2 linked regions of the Nothobranchius furzeri genome follow. The protein of the gene in region 1 purifies or fractionates together with the protein of each later gene. This does not show direct contact. Links are inferred from orthologs where the notes say so. Each region holds a gene or a part of one and is shown in the gene's direction. Other genes may lie near its edges.

What was found. The genes of interacting proteins can lie anywhere in the genome.
Region 2: the proteins of cbx5 (region 1) and adnpb purify together in Homo sapiens (affinity purification with mass spectrometry; 4 studies listed by BioGRID and IntAct, with this or other methods). This does not show direct contact. The link is inferred for Nothobranchius furzeri from reciprocal best matches to the Homo sapiens genes CBX5 and ADNP.

What each region holds. Positions count from the first base shown.
Region 1 is NC_091755.1:25,770,422-25,778,196, forward strand, and holds cbx5 (chromobox protein homolog 5), read left to right. Parts: upstream 1-3,200; 5' UTR 3,201-3,338; intron 3,339-3,808; 5' UTR 3,809-3,860; coding exon 3,861-3,988; intron 3,989-4,204; coding exon 4,205-4,445; intron 4,446-5,453; coding exon 5,454-5,554; intron 5,555-6,296; coding exon 6,297-6,438; 3' UTR 6,439-6,909; downstream 6,910-7,775. Other genes in the region: heterogeneous nuclear ribonucleoprotein A1, read right to left, coding at 208-266, 340-483, 557-700, 775-834, 910-1,056, 1,138-1,348, 1,419-1,565, 1,649-1,765 and 1 more. UniProt on the Homo sapiens protein: Component of heterochromatin that recognizes and binds histone H3 tails methylated at 'Lys-9' (H3K9me), leading to epigenetic repression. In contrast, it is excluded from chromatin when 'Tyr-41' of histone H3 is phosphorylated (H3Y41ph).
Region 2 is NC_091755.1:48,126,901-48,134,675, reverse strand, and holds the start of adnpb (activity-dependent neuroprotector homeobox b), read left to right. Parts: upstream 1-3,077; 5' UTR 3,078-3,284; intron 3,285-7,775. Other genes in the region: dpm1 (dolichol-phosphate mannosyltransferase subunit 1), read left to right, coding at 280-379, 546-579, 654-730, 902-927, 1,073-1,168, 1,258-1,326, 1,416-1,530, 1,643-1,747.

The sequences.
Region 1 (7,775 bases):
TGCTCTCCTCTCCTTGCTCTGCTCTCCTCTCCTAAGTACTCAGTCCTGTTGAACAATATGGAACAACATTGTTAACTGTGCACTGACTTTAAGGCCTGACATCCAAAGTGAATTTGTCAGTTTAGCTGTATCTCAGTGATTGCCTGTAACGACAAACTGGTTTTGCAACACTATGAGACCATGTTTAGATGCTCACCCCTTCTCATTTCAAAATCGCCCTGGGCGGCCATAGCCTCCAGGATTGTTTGAGCCACCACCATAGCCACCTGAGAAAGGGGGAAATTAATTTGCATCAAAACAGACAAGCGAGTAGCAACCATATTGATCTCAAATACTCACCTCCACCAAAGTTCCTGCCGCCGCCGCCACCACCGCCGCCACCGAAGTTATTCTTCATCGGCCCAAAGTTAGAGGCCTGGGGGTCGTAGTGGCCCATGTTGTTGTAGTTGTTACCACCTCCACCCCCGCCGCCACCACAATTACCTTAAAGGTTATTTTCTGTTATATTGTGATGCTGGGCAGAAATAAACATGGTTTTTACCAAGAGAATTCTTACCGTAACCATTGTTGTCATAACCATTTCCTCCATATCCACCGCCACCGCCTCCTCCTCCACCACCTTGGTTGTAGCCACCCTGATTATAACCACGGTTTCCACCTTGGTTGTAGCCTCCAGGACTGCCAGGACCACCGCCATAACCTGAAATATAAAAAAACATTAGTACTCTAACAAATCATTCAAAACCCACTTTAAATAACTAAAAAGGTGTATACCTCCTCCATCACCCCCATTGCAATTGTACGGACCATCGCCATATCGACCACCCCTGCCACCTTATGAGGGGAAATCAGGATTTAAAAACTCACCCTATTACACTACAGGTGTTGGTGTTCACCATCACACCCTACCTTGGTTGAAGCCTCTGTCGTAATCATATGGCCTTCCCCCGGTGTTACGGCCTCCTCTCGATCCCATGCCCACACTTTGCATTTCCTGCTTGGTGAGGGCCTTCCTCACTTCACAGTTGTGCGAGTTGATTGTGTGGTATTTCTGGACTGTTAATTGGGAGGGACGGCAACATTTTAACCACACATAGCACTGCAGGTGAAAGCTTGCAAGATAAACATTTTACTTACTGACAATCCTGTCAACTGAATCATGGTCATCAAAGCTGACAAAGGCGAAGCCTCTCTTCTTTCCAGTGTTACGGTCAGTCATGATGTCAATGACCTCAATTTTGCCAAACTGCTGGAAGTAATCCCTCAAATGAGATTCTTCTGTGTCTTCTTTTATGCCTCCAACAAAGATTTTCTTCACAGTTATGTGAGCGCCTGGGCGGTTGGAGTCCTGCAAACAACAAGAGCGCTTAATCCCATTCGTGCATCATAAATCAATCTGGATAAGCTGGCTCACATACCTCTCTGGAAACAGCTCGCTTAGGCTCCACCACTCTTCCATCCACCTTGTGTGGACGAGCGGACATGGAGGCATCGACCTCCTGCACTGACGAGTAGGTGACGAAGCCAAACCCCCTGGATCTCTTGCTGTTTGGGTCTCTCATAACCTAAAGGCAGAAACGCATCACAGCTTTAAGCAACCAACCAAACGTTACATTACATTTAAAAAGAGACATAAAGGTATGCGTACCACGCAATCTGTAAGGCTGCCCCATTGTTCAAAATGAGCCCGTAGGCTCTCGTCTGTTGTCTCGAAGCTCAGGCCTCCGATGAACAGCTTGCGGAGCTGCTCCGGCTCACGTGGAACCTGCACAAAAATATTTGCGTCATAGGAGAAGCAATGCACAATATAGTTCCGCATAATAATATTGTCGGTGGACCATTTATATCAAACTCTGCGTCTTTGATCAAAAATCAGGGATAGGGTGGAGAAGGCGCACCGCCGCCATTACAGTTTAGGAACCGCTCAGACTAAAGTCAAAGAACTCCTTCTTTCAAAGAGCCAACACACAATTAATATGTACTCACTGTCGTTTAATGTGTTAGGGATATAATCGTTTAAGACTGGTGTTGAAGAGAAGCCACTGATGTCCTTTACAGATCATCATCAGAACAAAAGGCCACGAGGCTCAGCTTCTATAAAATGGCGGCTTCAAGAAAGCTCTGCAGCTACGGCACACAGTCCGTCGACAACACCAAGTATGGCCAACCTATAATAAAACTACCCAAAACCAAACTATTAATCTTACGGCCTGATATCCTTTGATAAGTTTAGCACTCACCTCTTTAGACATTTTGCCGCTTTATCCTTGACGACTCCTTGAGAACCGACCGCAGAGGAACTAGCTGCGTCAGACAAGACCAGCGACAGGGTGAACGTACAAGAAATAGGAACGGAAACGCCTCTTCCCCTCAGCGATTGGTCTGTAGTTCCCGCGGTACTGTGTCGTCAATCAGAACTGTATTTTGATTGGTCTAAATTTTGTCAATCAATGCGAACAACCATTCACTGCGTAGTAGGCATTCGCCTTTGTCGACCATGAAGAAAAATGGCCGACCTAAATTACATAAAGCCAAAAATGAATGTGCCTTCATCTATAAACAAATTATCTGAATTGACAGAGAAATTGAATGCTCACATTTAAAAGGTGCTGAAAAAACGACTTATTAACTTTTTTCTACGAAACGAGCCTAAGAAAGACAATAAACAATATAAAAGATAGACAAATTGCCGTCTGGCTAAACAACACGGGAAATATCATTCGCATGTTGGTACACAAGATGTCCCGTAATCAAACAAACCGATGCAAAATGTACAACTCTTGAAGAGTTTATGCTAAAGTATAATTTAAAATGAGCCAAATTAGTTAATCTGGGCTTTGTGTGTGGTGACTAAAGGGGGAAAATAACATGAACATAGAGAAATAAATAAATGCAGCAAGATTTAAACGAAAAATATATGAAAACATAAATTACTACAACAAAGTAGACGTATATATATTAATTTCTTTATTTTCAGTCAAATAATTGTAACCCTTTATGCTGTGTTTTTTTTTATTTTGTATTATCGTGTATACTTATTTTGTAAATTATTGTGACTGCAAGTTACTACAATTTTATAAACCGAACGTTAACGTTATAGAAAAGTTAAAATTTAGTAGGAAGGAACGTGTTTTCTAAACATTTATTATGTCACCAGCAGACTGGGGGCGGGTATGTTCATTGTGCGTTTTTAACGCGCGCTTTTTGCGCACGGCACCTTTATGTGCTACAGGCTAGATGCTAACGCTGGTGCTGCATTAGCTGCACTGCTGCCTCTAGATAAACGGAGCAGTCCCTGCGACCAGCGGCCTACATCCAGTGGGTTATACACTCCGAGGGTAAGAAACTGCGTTTTTGTAAATGTGCTTTACGCTGTTGCAAGTATCGGGTAGTTGTTTGATAAGTAAATTAGCGAGTATAGCATAGCTTTAGCACGTAAGCTAGCTCCTTTGGCTAGTTTGGGGTTAGTTAGCAGGACAAATCCCTTGGTCTTCATTGAACTGTGTGCTTTGTTCGTTTTCTGTGAGTGCAGTCTGGTCGCATATAACTATTTCAAACGGGCATATGTCGAGAAATGCACATGTATGGCCATTATATTAGCAGTTTTCCCATGCTTATCGTTCTGCTAGTGGGAAGAACGAGATTAAATGAAGATATTCATTGATGCACGGTAACCACGTTGTGTGGCTAACGCTCATGGTTGCAAACCTGCAGCTTGAGCTTAAATTTATGTGTTTACATGTGGACGAGCGCTGAGAAAAAATGGCATGTTTTGTGAGATGCTTGTTTGTGATTTCGTCGTGAACAGGAAAGTGCCATCGAACTCTAAAAGAGTGTAGTGTGAAGCACCCAACTCCGAGATGGGCAAAAAGTCACGTGAAGAGGAGTCCTCATCTGATGAAGAAGAGTATGTTGTGGAGAAGGTGCTGGACAGGAGGGTGGTGAAAGGCAGGGTGGAGTTCTTCCTTAAGTGGAAAGGATACTCTGAGTAAGTACCAAGTACCTGTTTACTGGTCAGTGACTTGATATTCCCGTTTTACACACACACACACACACACACACACACACACACACACACACACACACACACACACACACACACACACAGCACAAAAAGCATCAGTGAAGCTGGTTTGAGCACACAATATTACCCTTTTAAAAATGAACGTGACATTTCAATGACTTGTGCTGTGATTTTCTGCAGCAAGCACAACACATGGGAGCCAGAGAAGAATCTAGACTGCCCTGAGCTTATTTCAGAGTTCATGAAGACCTATAAGAAAAGCAGCAGCAGCGGTGGTAGTTCGACACCTAGCAGCGGGGCCAGTAAATCAAGCACAGGCTCATCTGGACGCACTAAAGATCCCAGCAGCTTAAAAAAGAAGGGCTCTGATGAAGAGGAGGAAGAAGAGGAAGGAGGAAGTAAGCCAAAGAAGAAGAAAGAGGTAAATTATCTTCATTATAGGTGAATTTCATTGACTACGTTTACATGCAGCCAATATCCGGGTTATGATCGGGTTAAGGTCGGTATTCGGGTTTCTGAGTTGATCAGAATAACCCGTTTACAAGCCCGTTTACAATAAATAGAAAGAGTTACCCCTAACTTGCATAACCCGATTTAAATGCGGACGGTGGGGTAGCGTCAAGACATATGGACTACGTCCAGACGCAATATGCCTCATTTCCGGTTCTTCTTGTTCCGGTATCCGTGAAAACAACAACACGTTTCCCAGTTCGGAAGAGACGGCGACCGCGTTTGTTTGTGCTTTAGTTTCTTCGTCACTGCGAAAGTGTGGTGCTGTGCCGCGACTCGCCATGTTGCTCCCAACTTGTTGTTTACTTCCGGTGTTCTGGCGCATACAAGACGTCTCGCTACTCAAAAGACCAAGATTCCTTGCGAACAGAGCATGTGCAGAACACACGCTTTGATGGGGATATCCCGGTATGCGTTTACACGACCAAACATTCGGGTTAGAAAAGGGTTACGCCAGGTGTAGTAACCGGGTTTTTAAAAACCCGGTTATGAGCATATCCAGGTTTTTGGCGGTGTTTACAAGGACCTGCGGAACCGGGTTATTGTGAATATTCGGGTTTTAAAAGGGTTACTGGCTGCATGTAAACGCACTCATTCTGATATGAATCATTTGTATGCGTGGGAGCATTTGTACTTAGCTCTTCTGAACTGATTTCTGTAAAGACTGTTTATATTTTAGCTAAATGTTGTAAAATGTATAATTTTGAGATGAAAATGATAAATTGTTTTTTTGAATTACCAATAATGCATTAACTTATGGGCAGGTGATGGGCAACACCTATACTTATTAAATAATATAAGTTATATCTAGATTTGACCTGTGTTTAGAATTGCTGAATTTATGGCCAATGAAATAGCCCTTTGGCAAATATTCAGCTGGCATTTTTAATTTTTTATTTTTTATTTTTTTACATTTCAGGATGAGATCCTAGTTGCACGTGGCTTTGAGAGGGGCCTAGAGCCAGAGAAGATCATTGGGGCAACCGACTCGTGTGGAGACCTCATGTTTCTAATGAAGTGGTAAGTTTTACTGGTAGACTCATTTTGGGAGATCTTCATTCTGTTATAATGACAATGCACTTACTTTTATGCACTTTGGTAATCATAATGCACCCATTTCGTAGTAAAACAAAATTTTCCTCAGACATAAACATTAGAAGCTAACCTAGCACAGGGGGGACTAACAGGCCTTTGTAGAGCTTGGTGACCTGCTGAACAGGTAATTCAACCATTCAGGTGTATTGCAGCAGTGAGATGACTAAAACATGCTGGGTATGGGGATCTCAGACACACTTGATCTAAGAGGACTACTATTCATTCTCGTATGACAAAGAAATATGCTTAAGTATTATAAAGTACTTACATTTTCAACTATTAAATGTCTAAAACAGAACTGGTTAAACGGTGCAGAATTGTTGCACCAGAGCACAGCACGATGTCCTATCATGAGCTTAAATGTCTAACAACCTGAATCTTTAACACCACATTACTACTGGCAAATCATTCATTAGCTAATCGCTGTTCCGTCATAAACAGTAAGCCACATCATAAAACTTTATGCTATTGCATATTAGCTAAATTTATACATGCAGTAAATTGTCCCTAAGCAGAAGTGATGGTTGTAGATTTTGGAAATTTTGTTTTGAAATGGGAAATTTGGTTGAAATAATTTGGAAAAGTGAAGGACAATAAGGACAAACTAACAATCCCTAACAATGCGTGGATTCCTTAAGTTCTCTTGCTGTTCTGGTTTCTCGTACAGGAAAGACTCTGATGAGGCAGATCTTGTTCTCGCCAAGGAGGCCAATCATAAGTGCCCACAAATCGTCATAGCCTTCTACGAGGAGCGTCTCACCTGGCACGAAGACGGCGACAAGAAGGAGAAGGATGCTGTTAGCGCGTGAGTGTATCACCTCGGGAGGAATCCTCCACTGCAGGGACTACCTTAAGTCAGACATTTTTTTCCTCCATATCCAAAACTTTCATGTACCACGTCCAAAGGCAACACAATGACAGGCGATGCATCTTTCTCTTGTCCTCCCCTCCTTCCTCCATCCACGTCCCACTGGAGCACAATGACCCGGGCTGCTGAGAGGGGGCCGTCGGGCTGGAGGAGAAGATGTAGTGGGTGTGGGTGAAATGCTACTTGGGGAACTTTCTACTGTATTGTCTTTGTATTCATTACCTTTTTTTAATATCGATGTATGTTTTAGTGCTTACAGGATGTGATTCTATCAGTGAGGAGTGCAGTGTTATGATCAGGTGGGATTGAGTTGGAGTATTGACATTATGGAAGTAACCATCTCTGCACTTTCCTGTCTGTTTAATCATGTCCTTTTTAAACTTTTTATCTTTGTAGATTTTTTTTTTTTTTTTACCAAAATACAACGTTTAAATTTGAACAATCTTTGCTTGGTGATTCGCTTGCTAGAATTTTTTTATTTGCCGTTTTATTTTGTTGCTGCCTAGTGGTAACAAAGTAAAACCGCATAGACCGTGACCAAAACAGATGACAGCCTCTGAGGTGTGTGTGTGTGTGTTTGTGTTAATCAACTTAAGTATTTTTTTAGACATTTTTATTTCTCTAAAATCCTCCCTACACAAAAAAAAAAAACAACAACATTTTACCCTTTTCAAATGTGAGATAGCGGTCAATTTCAATAACTTTTTAGTTTTGTTTTTCTGGGTAATTTTAACATTTTGGACCAAATAGTTGGTGTATTCAGATGTTTTTCCTGGTTTAGTAAAACCTTAGTGACTTGCTCCTTTTTTATACATTTTATTCATATGACCAGTTTTTAATGTTAATTTGCCAAGTCGGTTGGGTTCTTCCATTAAAATGGTTTTGTCCTAACTTTTTACCCAAGCAGAATTTCCAGATTGTTGAGCGGTTTTCTTGTGTCAAAATAAATGTTACAAACATGTGTACTGTATCACCCTTTAATAAACATTTTCAATGGTAAAGTGTATTATTTGTATTTTATTGGAGAAAATAAGATGCATATTTTTCTCCAGATTTAACTTTCTGCCTCAAATGGTCAGAAAACTAGATACATGCTATAGAAGAAATTATTTTATTATAATTGCTTTTTTTTTTTTTTTTGCAAAGGAAATCATAAATTGCAGATAGTGAGACAGAGTTGCATTATCTGTCTTCTGTTTATTGGGAAGAAAATTGTTTCTTTTGCACCAGTTGCTGTTGCCCAGCAGATGGTGGTGTTGGTTAATATCGTTTTACAGT
Region 2 (7,775 bases), about 22 Mb from region 1:
ATGTGTATATATATTACATATATATGTATGTGTATATATATGTATATGTGTGTGTAACAGTTAATTGCGTCTTTAAAAGGTAACTTGAACGGATTCATCTCTTGTGATTACATTCCTAAAACGTTTGTGAAATAATATTTAATGTTTTTAATAAATGAATTAATAAATTGATAAATGAAAAATAATTTTTGTCATTTTAAGTGAAATAGTTTTTTATATGTCTAAAGATTGATTTACAGTAATCTCTGTCGGCATGATAGTAATGCTTATTTCTCACAGTGGATATGACTATGAGATTATTATCATTGATGACGGAAGCCCAGATGGGACACTGGAGGTTGCAGAGCAGTTGCAGAAAATTTACGGAAAGGACAAAATAGTAAGTTAAGACTGATCTCTCAGCATGAACAAGATAAATTCACATTAAAGTTGCACCACATATACTGTGTAAAATAATTAAAAAGTAATTTGTTTGTTTTTTTTATCACAAAACTTTACAGTGATAATCAACAGTCATTAATTGTTAAATCCTTCTAATTTTTCAGGTTCTGCGACCAAGGGAGAAAAAATTAGGCCTTGGTAAGTTGGTAAAATTATTGCATTTCCTTTATAAACATTACCAGTGGATGTAATCATCCCTTCATGTTTTAAAGGCACAGCCTACATCCATGGCATGAAGCATGCCACTGGGAACTTCATCATCATCATGGATGCAGATCTTTCCCATCACGTGAGTCGATGCACGAGTGTATTTGATGTATAAAATATCTTAGAAACAAGACATCTTTTGAGTATCTTGTCTGGAAAAACACAAATGGCTAGTAAAGTCCAATTGAGTATTTATTTATTTATTTATTTTGTTGCACTGCTGTGTATTTTATTCGTCTTTATTTTATTTCAGCCCAAGTTTATTCCTGAATTTATTGAGTAAGTATAATTGTTTTTTATGTTATGAGTTGGTGCGTTTATAAAGACTCGCAACATTTCTGATTATCAGGGTAACTTTCATCCATGTGTGACGAGTCGGATTATTCTAGCATGTTTTAGGTAAAGTATCGTATTTCATTCACAGAAAGCAGAAGGAAGGTGGTTATGACCTTGTGTCTGGTACTCGCTATCAGGGCAATGGAGGTGTCTACGGCTGGGACCTGCGCAGGAAACTCATCAGGTAACGGCCAGTGAGCAGAACTTGGTCACCAGTGTCCGCTCTCCTACGCTCGATGAAAACGAGATTTGTTTTTCTCTCCTGTGTCTTAGTCGAGGTGCTAACTTTTTGACTCAGGTTTTGTTGAGACCCGGCGCTTCGGACCTCACGGGCAGCTTCAGGTAACTGATGCAAGAGGTTTGAATCGTCATTGACTAGAAAACTGAACCGTTTCCTCACTTTTGTGCTTTTTTCCCTACGCTTTTGGAAGGTTATACAAGAAAAATGTGCTGGAGAGTCTGGTGGAGCGGTGTGTGTCTAAAGGTTACGTGTTCCAGATGGAGATGATCGTCCGAGCCAGACAGCTCAACTACACAATTGGAGAGGTGTTGACCTACCACGCTGTTGGGTTCTTTGAATATTTGTACTTTGTATGAGTTCTTCTCAACGTTTCCGCTGAAATTAAACTAAGGTTTATTTTCTCCTCGTCGTTCGCAGGTTCCTATTTCCTTTGTGGATCGGGTTTATGGAGAGTCAAAACTGGGAGGGAATGAGATCGTGTCATTTGTGAGAGGACTGCTCACACTCTTCGCCACGACGTGATCAGCGATGTTCAGAGCTTCTGGGAGCTTTTTTTTTTCCTCGTTCCACAAGTTTGTCTTTAAAACAGAAGTTTCACCAAATTAAAAACAAGAGAGAGACGTTCACCACTTTCTGTAATCATACGGTGACAGGACAACACAGGAGAAGGAAGGTGTTAGCAGTTAAAACTGTGGAAGATGTTCTTTTCTGTAGTTTTCAGAATGCTGAAGAAATGGTGATTCCCAAGTCTTGTCAATCCCATCGCAGAATGTTTCTGGAATTCTTTATTATTACAGTTTGCAAATGCATAAAAATAAACACGTTTTAATTGTAGACTCTTGTTTGTTTATTTTTAATTGATCCAATGGAAATTGTATGCGAATTTAAATGAACTCTTGACTTAAGAAACAGAAACCTGAGACTGATCACACCTGCCATATCCAAAAATTAGAAATTGACTCCATTTATATACTTGTAAGACTTTTAATGTCGGCATACATCAAATACCCAAAAATATCACGGACATGTCTGGATTATCCAGGAAGAAACACTTAAAGGATCTAAGATCTTTGGGAATCCACGTCTGCTATTAAAGGAAACATGCTAAAAGCTGTAGTTTAGAACATAATCTGGGTTTTTGTGTGAGAAGATGTCTGTATTTTTCATTTAATTGGAAACAAACCCTAGACACTTGTATTAAAACATTTTAGAAGAAAAAGTTCATCAGTAACCATCAAATAAGAGGTTTTATAATAACTAGAAATGCAGAGTCCGGTCCCACCTTACAGGAAAGTAGTCCCGGCTGAATGGATGGAGGTATCACAGCGCCACCTAGTGTTGGCCCGGCCTCCAGCTGCGTGCTGAGGCACTGTGCACATCCGAGCCTCCGCAGGGGAGGAGCTACCAGGACGCCCGCTACCGGACCGTAAACGTAACTGCTGCGCCTGGTTGTTTACCCCCGCAGAGAGAGACAGGAAATCAATACCGTCCACAAACTTTAAGACAACGGAGGCATTTATTATTTTAAGCAGATGTTTGCCTAAATGTTCGAACTGATTGGCAAACCAATCATGAGAGCGAGGACCTGGTCTTATTATTTATGCTAATGAGGAATATGTCACTTCCGCTTCTTTGATTTGCGCCATTTTGGATAGGGCAGCTGGTTGGCTGGATGTGTATTGTCTGTCGGGAGAGAACGGGTAAAAAGGAACCCGCTGTTAGAGAATTACGATCAGAGTTGAATTAATTAATTCACCAGAGTGTAAAGTACGTCGGTAGTTGACATGTGTCTACCTTCACCGCTCCAGGAAACGGAGGTTTTAATCGCCCGCCGAAGCTCTCTCTTTCCGTTCTCCGACCACGGGAAAGCGGATAGCCCTCGTCGCTGAGGGGCTGTCGGGCTGGGAAGGTAGACCGACGGCCCGGGTGACTTCTCCCCCACAAAGCACCTGGGAGGGAATTACCGACATATCCGTGCAAGCGGGAGCGTGAATACTCGACCTCGGTCATCCTGAGGTGACACATTTAATTCAGACGGGAGCACTGGATGTAAAAGCAGGTAAACCTGGATGTCCTAATGCCGGGGAGAGTCCACAGATGGTGGCCGCTTGCCGCTGCCTACCTGCGGGACGGGATGGGTGGTGGTGGCTAGTGTTAGTGTGTCGGGGTGGTAAACAAGTTTCATTCTTAAATTAAACGCATCGTGATGTTATTGAAGAACCAAGAGAAAATGCGACAGCTTTCGTTTCAACCCATGTTGTTGGGTGTTAGCTTAGCATGTTAGCTCAGCGCGGCACCACCATCCCTCCTTTGTCAGTTGCAGCAGCTTTTTGCTTTTAACTATCTGGATTCTGTCAGCTGTCTTGGATATTTAACTCATCACGAACACCACGGATGGTCCACAGTTTGTTCTGTTCGTTGCTACAGCGACCGATCTGTCCTGTGGTTATTATGGGATTGTAGGAGAGTGACCACATTAGTGTAAACAGTTTGGTTTTGAACCCGATTGTGAGGAAGTGTTTATGAGGGAGTCCTGGTTGTCTGTGATTAGACAGGTGAGTTCAGGTGTGTGCCTCTAAAGGGGAGCAGTGCTGCCATGGTCACCCTCAGACATCCTGTCACCTTTAATACCGTTTACAGGTGTTGAGCCGTGTGGTGAAACCTCATCAGAGGCATTTAAGACTATTATTCTTCTATTAAAGCGAACATGGATGTCACAAGAAGTGTGACCTCTTAGTAAACGTGGAGGAATGGTAAACATGAGGGTTGAGAACATTGGTTATCACATCCTGTTGGATTATTCGGCAGCATTTAAAGATTTCAAGGCCTCTTTTCTTTCTCTTTAGCACCACTGCAGAATGGGAAACATGTTCTCTGCCAGCAGCCATCGCCACAGCAGAGCAGCCTCTTCCTGCATTTCCTCCCAGTCCTCTTCCTTCTCTCCCTCCTTTCCCTCCTACTCAGCCTCTCCCTGGCTATCTATTCTCCCCTCCCCTGCTCTGCATCGCCCTCTCTTTCTCTCACCCTCTTCCATTTTCTGTCCCTCCAGCCTCCCAGTCCTCCCTTCCCCTCTCCTCTCTGTGTGCCTGACCTCCCTGCCTCCCCCCCCCTCCCCTTACCTCCCTGGCTCACCCCCCCCCCCCCATCTCTCCCCTTGCACTCCTTCTACACTTACCCGCTCACTCCCCCTTCTCTTCCTCCATGCACACTCCCCCCCCCATGATTTCTTTCTCTCACTCCTTCTCTCCCTCCTCTTCCTCTCCCTTCCAACATCACTCTCTCCTCCACTCCCCTCCCCCTCTGCTGCAGACATATTGTAGGGGCTGCTGCTTACTCAATAGGAGGCGCCATTCTGTGATGGTGTTGCAAGGCTGGGAGAAAAGGGGCCAGGCAGAACGTAGGGAGGCTTACATAATGGGAGTCCTCTGCTGCACCATCTACAAGAAAGGGAGGGAAGCAGGAGAAAGGCAGGTAGGGGAGAGGTGGGTCGTTGACTTTTAGGATGCAGGTGGGTCAGCCAGGCAGGTGATGGACCCACAAAAGCATCTATATCTCATTTCCTCAGATTCCTCAAGGGGTAACGAGCTGAGATGTTAACAGGAATTGTTGGAAATGTAGATTGTTGTCCTAGTGTACCAGTGACCTTTGACCTTCCTGCATGAAGCTTTGATTTGAACAGAGCTTGTTTCTTGAGCAATAGAACTAAAACATTTAGCTGAGTCTGGCAAATTTAACAATCTCATTTATACAGATGTTAAAGCATCCTAGAGTTGATCTTGTTGAACATTGGGAGCTAGGGGGATCGGATGCACCATTCCTAAAGTCTGTGCCGTCTCCGACCTGCTTTTTATGTAACGATCAATAGTCATAGACAAACCAACTGAAACTTGCATGTCCCAACCCACCTCAACGTCAGCAGTTTACAAATGTTGGTAGTTAGAATGCTAACCACACAACAACACTAGCCCGAACTACTGCTAACATCCTTGTTGAACGTGAGGAAGACATCCAGGCGTAACGTTCTAGGGTGGACTGGGGTTATCCAGACTACCCCTGAATGCTTATAGAATTATCCATATGATGTAGCATCATTGAGACATCAAGGTCAACTGACCAATCAGTGCTCTGCTTGGTCTTCCTGTTGTAGGGCTTCATTAAGGGGGTGTGGCTGGTCATTTATCAGGGCTCTTGGGTCATTGTGAGCCCCAACAAAGTTTCATTTAAAATGGTTTGTTTGGCTGTTGGCCTGTTCCAGCAGAACTCATAAAAGACGTTGATTCCATTGATTGGATCAGCTGTTGTTGGACTTGAACTTTCTGGTCCGTACCAATTTTTTTTTCTCTTAGTAGGAACAAAAGTCAGTCATCACGGTTGAGATTTAATGTACAACAAATACTTTACATTAGGGCTGCACGATATTAGGAAAACCTGCGATATTCGATAACCGTGCTTAATATTGCGATATCGATATTACTCACGATAAATGAACAAATACTAAAGTATGCAGTGCTGATGTCGTCTGGCGTGTGACGTCTGCTCTGGGTTCAAAGCAAACAAAAACTAATGCATGAATTCCATTACAACATAACATTTTTATTGCAAAACTATGCAGCTGCACCTGCTGCTGTATTAGCAGCTGCACCCGCTACTGTATTAGCAGCTGCACCCGCTACTGTATTAGCAGCTGCACCTGCTACTGTATTAGCAGCTGCAGCTGCTACTGTATTAGCAGCTGCACCCGCTACTGTATTAGCAGCTGCACCCGCTACTGTATTAGCAGCTGCACCCGCTACTGTATTAGCAGCTGCACCCGCTACTGTATTAGCAGCTGCACCCGCTACTGTATTAGCAGCTGCACCCGCTACTGTATTAGCAGCTGCACCAGCTACTGTATTAGCAGCTGCACCCGCTACTGTATTAGCAGCTGCACCCGCTACTGTATTAGCAGCTGCACCCGCTACTGTATTAGCAGCTGCACCAGCTACTGTATTAGCAGCTGCACCCGCTACTGTATTAGCAGCTGCACCCGCTACTGTATTAGCAGCTGCACCAGCTACTGTATTAGCAGCTGCACCCGCTACTGTATTAGCAGCTGCACCTGCTACTGTATTAGCAGCTGCACCCGCTACTGTATAAGCAGCTGCACCCGCTACTGTATTAGCAGCTGCACCCGCTACTGTATTAGCAGCTGCACCCGCTACTGTATAAGCAGCTGCACCCGCTACTGTATAAGCAGCTGCACCCGCTACTGTATTAGCAGCTGCACCCGCTACTGTATTAGCAGCTGCACCCGCTACTGTATTAGCAGCTGCACCAGCTACTGTATTAGCAGCAAAACAACAAACTGCATGCATGCAGTTTCTCAGTGACTTTAAAACATCACCTCCACTATAAAACTTTTTCTGATGCTCCAAATACAGAAAAACGTTCCTTACCAGGGTTTTTGGAATAAATAAAGATATTAGAAAATAAGTTTAAATGTTAAATAATAGTTAACATCACTTAAATGCAACAGCAAATTCTCTCATTGCTACTGAGCATTTTCTCCACTTATGTGGTTATGATATAAGGCTGTTGCTGTAATTGGGAAGTGAACTGTGCTGGGCCAAACTAGGAGAATATTAAGATTTTCTGAGGGAAAGAGAAAAACAATTGTCTACCTTTCAGAAGAGGAACTGGCAAGAATCTACATGGAAAATATTTGAAAACGTTTGTTTTTAACCCCAAATTGAACAAGTTTACCTAGATCTTAAAAAGCAGTGAAGTGTAGCGCCAGTGCCCTATACACTGGCACTACCTGGTAGCTGTTGCGGGTGGTCTTTACGTGTGCTTTAAGCTAAAAGCAGCCCTGATGATGAAACTGCAACTATGATTCTGATAACAAGCTAACAAACTGAGCTAGCTCCTCTAAGATAACCGGCTAGCAGAGCTTCTGACTGACAGTTTATGTGCAGCAGCAAATCAACTATCCTGATTAACAAGGTTATAAAAGCTCATAAATGAAAAATCACTTTGATGTGTGGGGGAACTTTTCCAGGCCCTCTTTAGCAGGGTGGGACTGGGAGGAGAGTGCTGTAGCCTTTTAGCTGGAAGCTAACCGGAGCCTGGGGCTAACATCACCACCCGGTGGAACACTAGCGACGTGAAGGTGGGTTGGTTCACCGGCACGTGTCGGAGTCAGCCCGGTTATTATCAGCTGCTTAACGACACCGAGCGAACTCACGTTCACGTTTGAAAGCAGCGCTGATTCCAGAAACCTCAGCACAAAGTGCGTTTGTTAATCTGAGCCAGCATGACGAACAAGGGAACGGCGCCTCTAACTCAGTTCGGGTGTTGCTTTCCATCCTAAGGTCTACGTAGGGGGTGGGCGTATTACGTAAACGGACCTATCTGATTGGCCGCATATCAGAAGGGCTCCATTTGATTGGTCAAATAATAATTCAGCGTAAAAAAACAGAGCTGGTTTACAAAAAGGTGATGTATGACACGGATGGAAATGTTGAACCAAACATTTATCGCCATTTTTGACGTGCTTTGCGATGGGCCTATC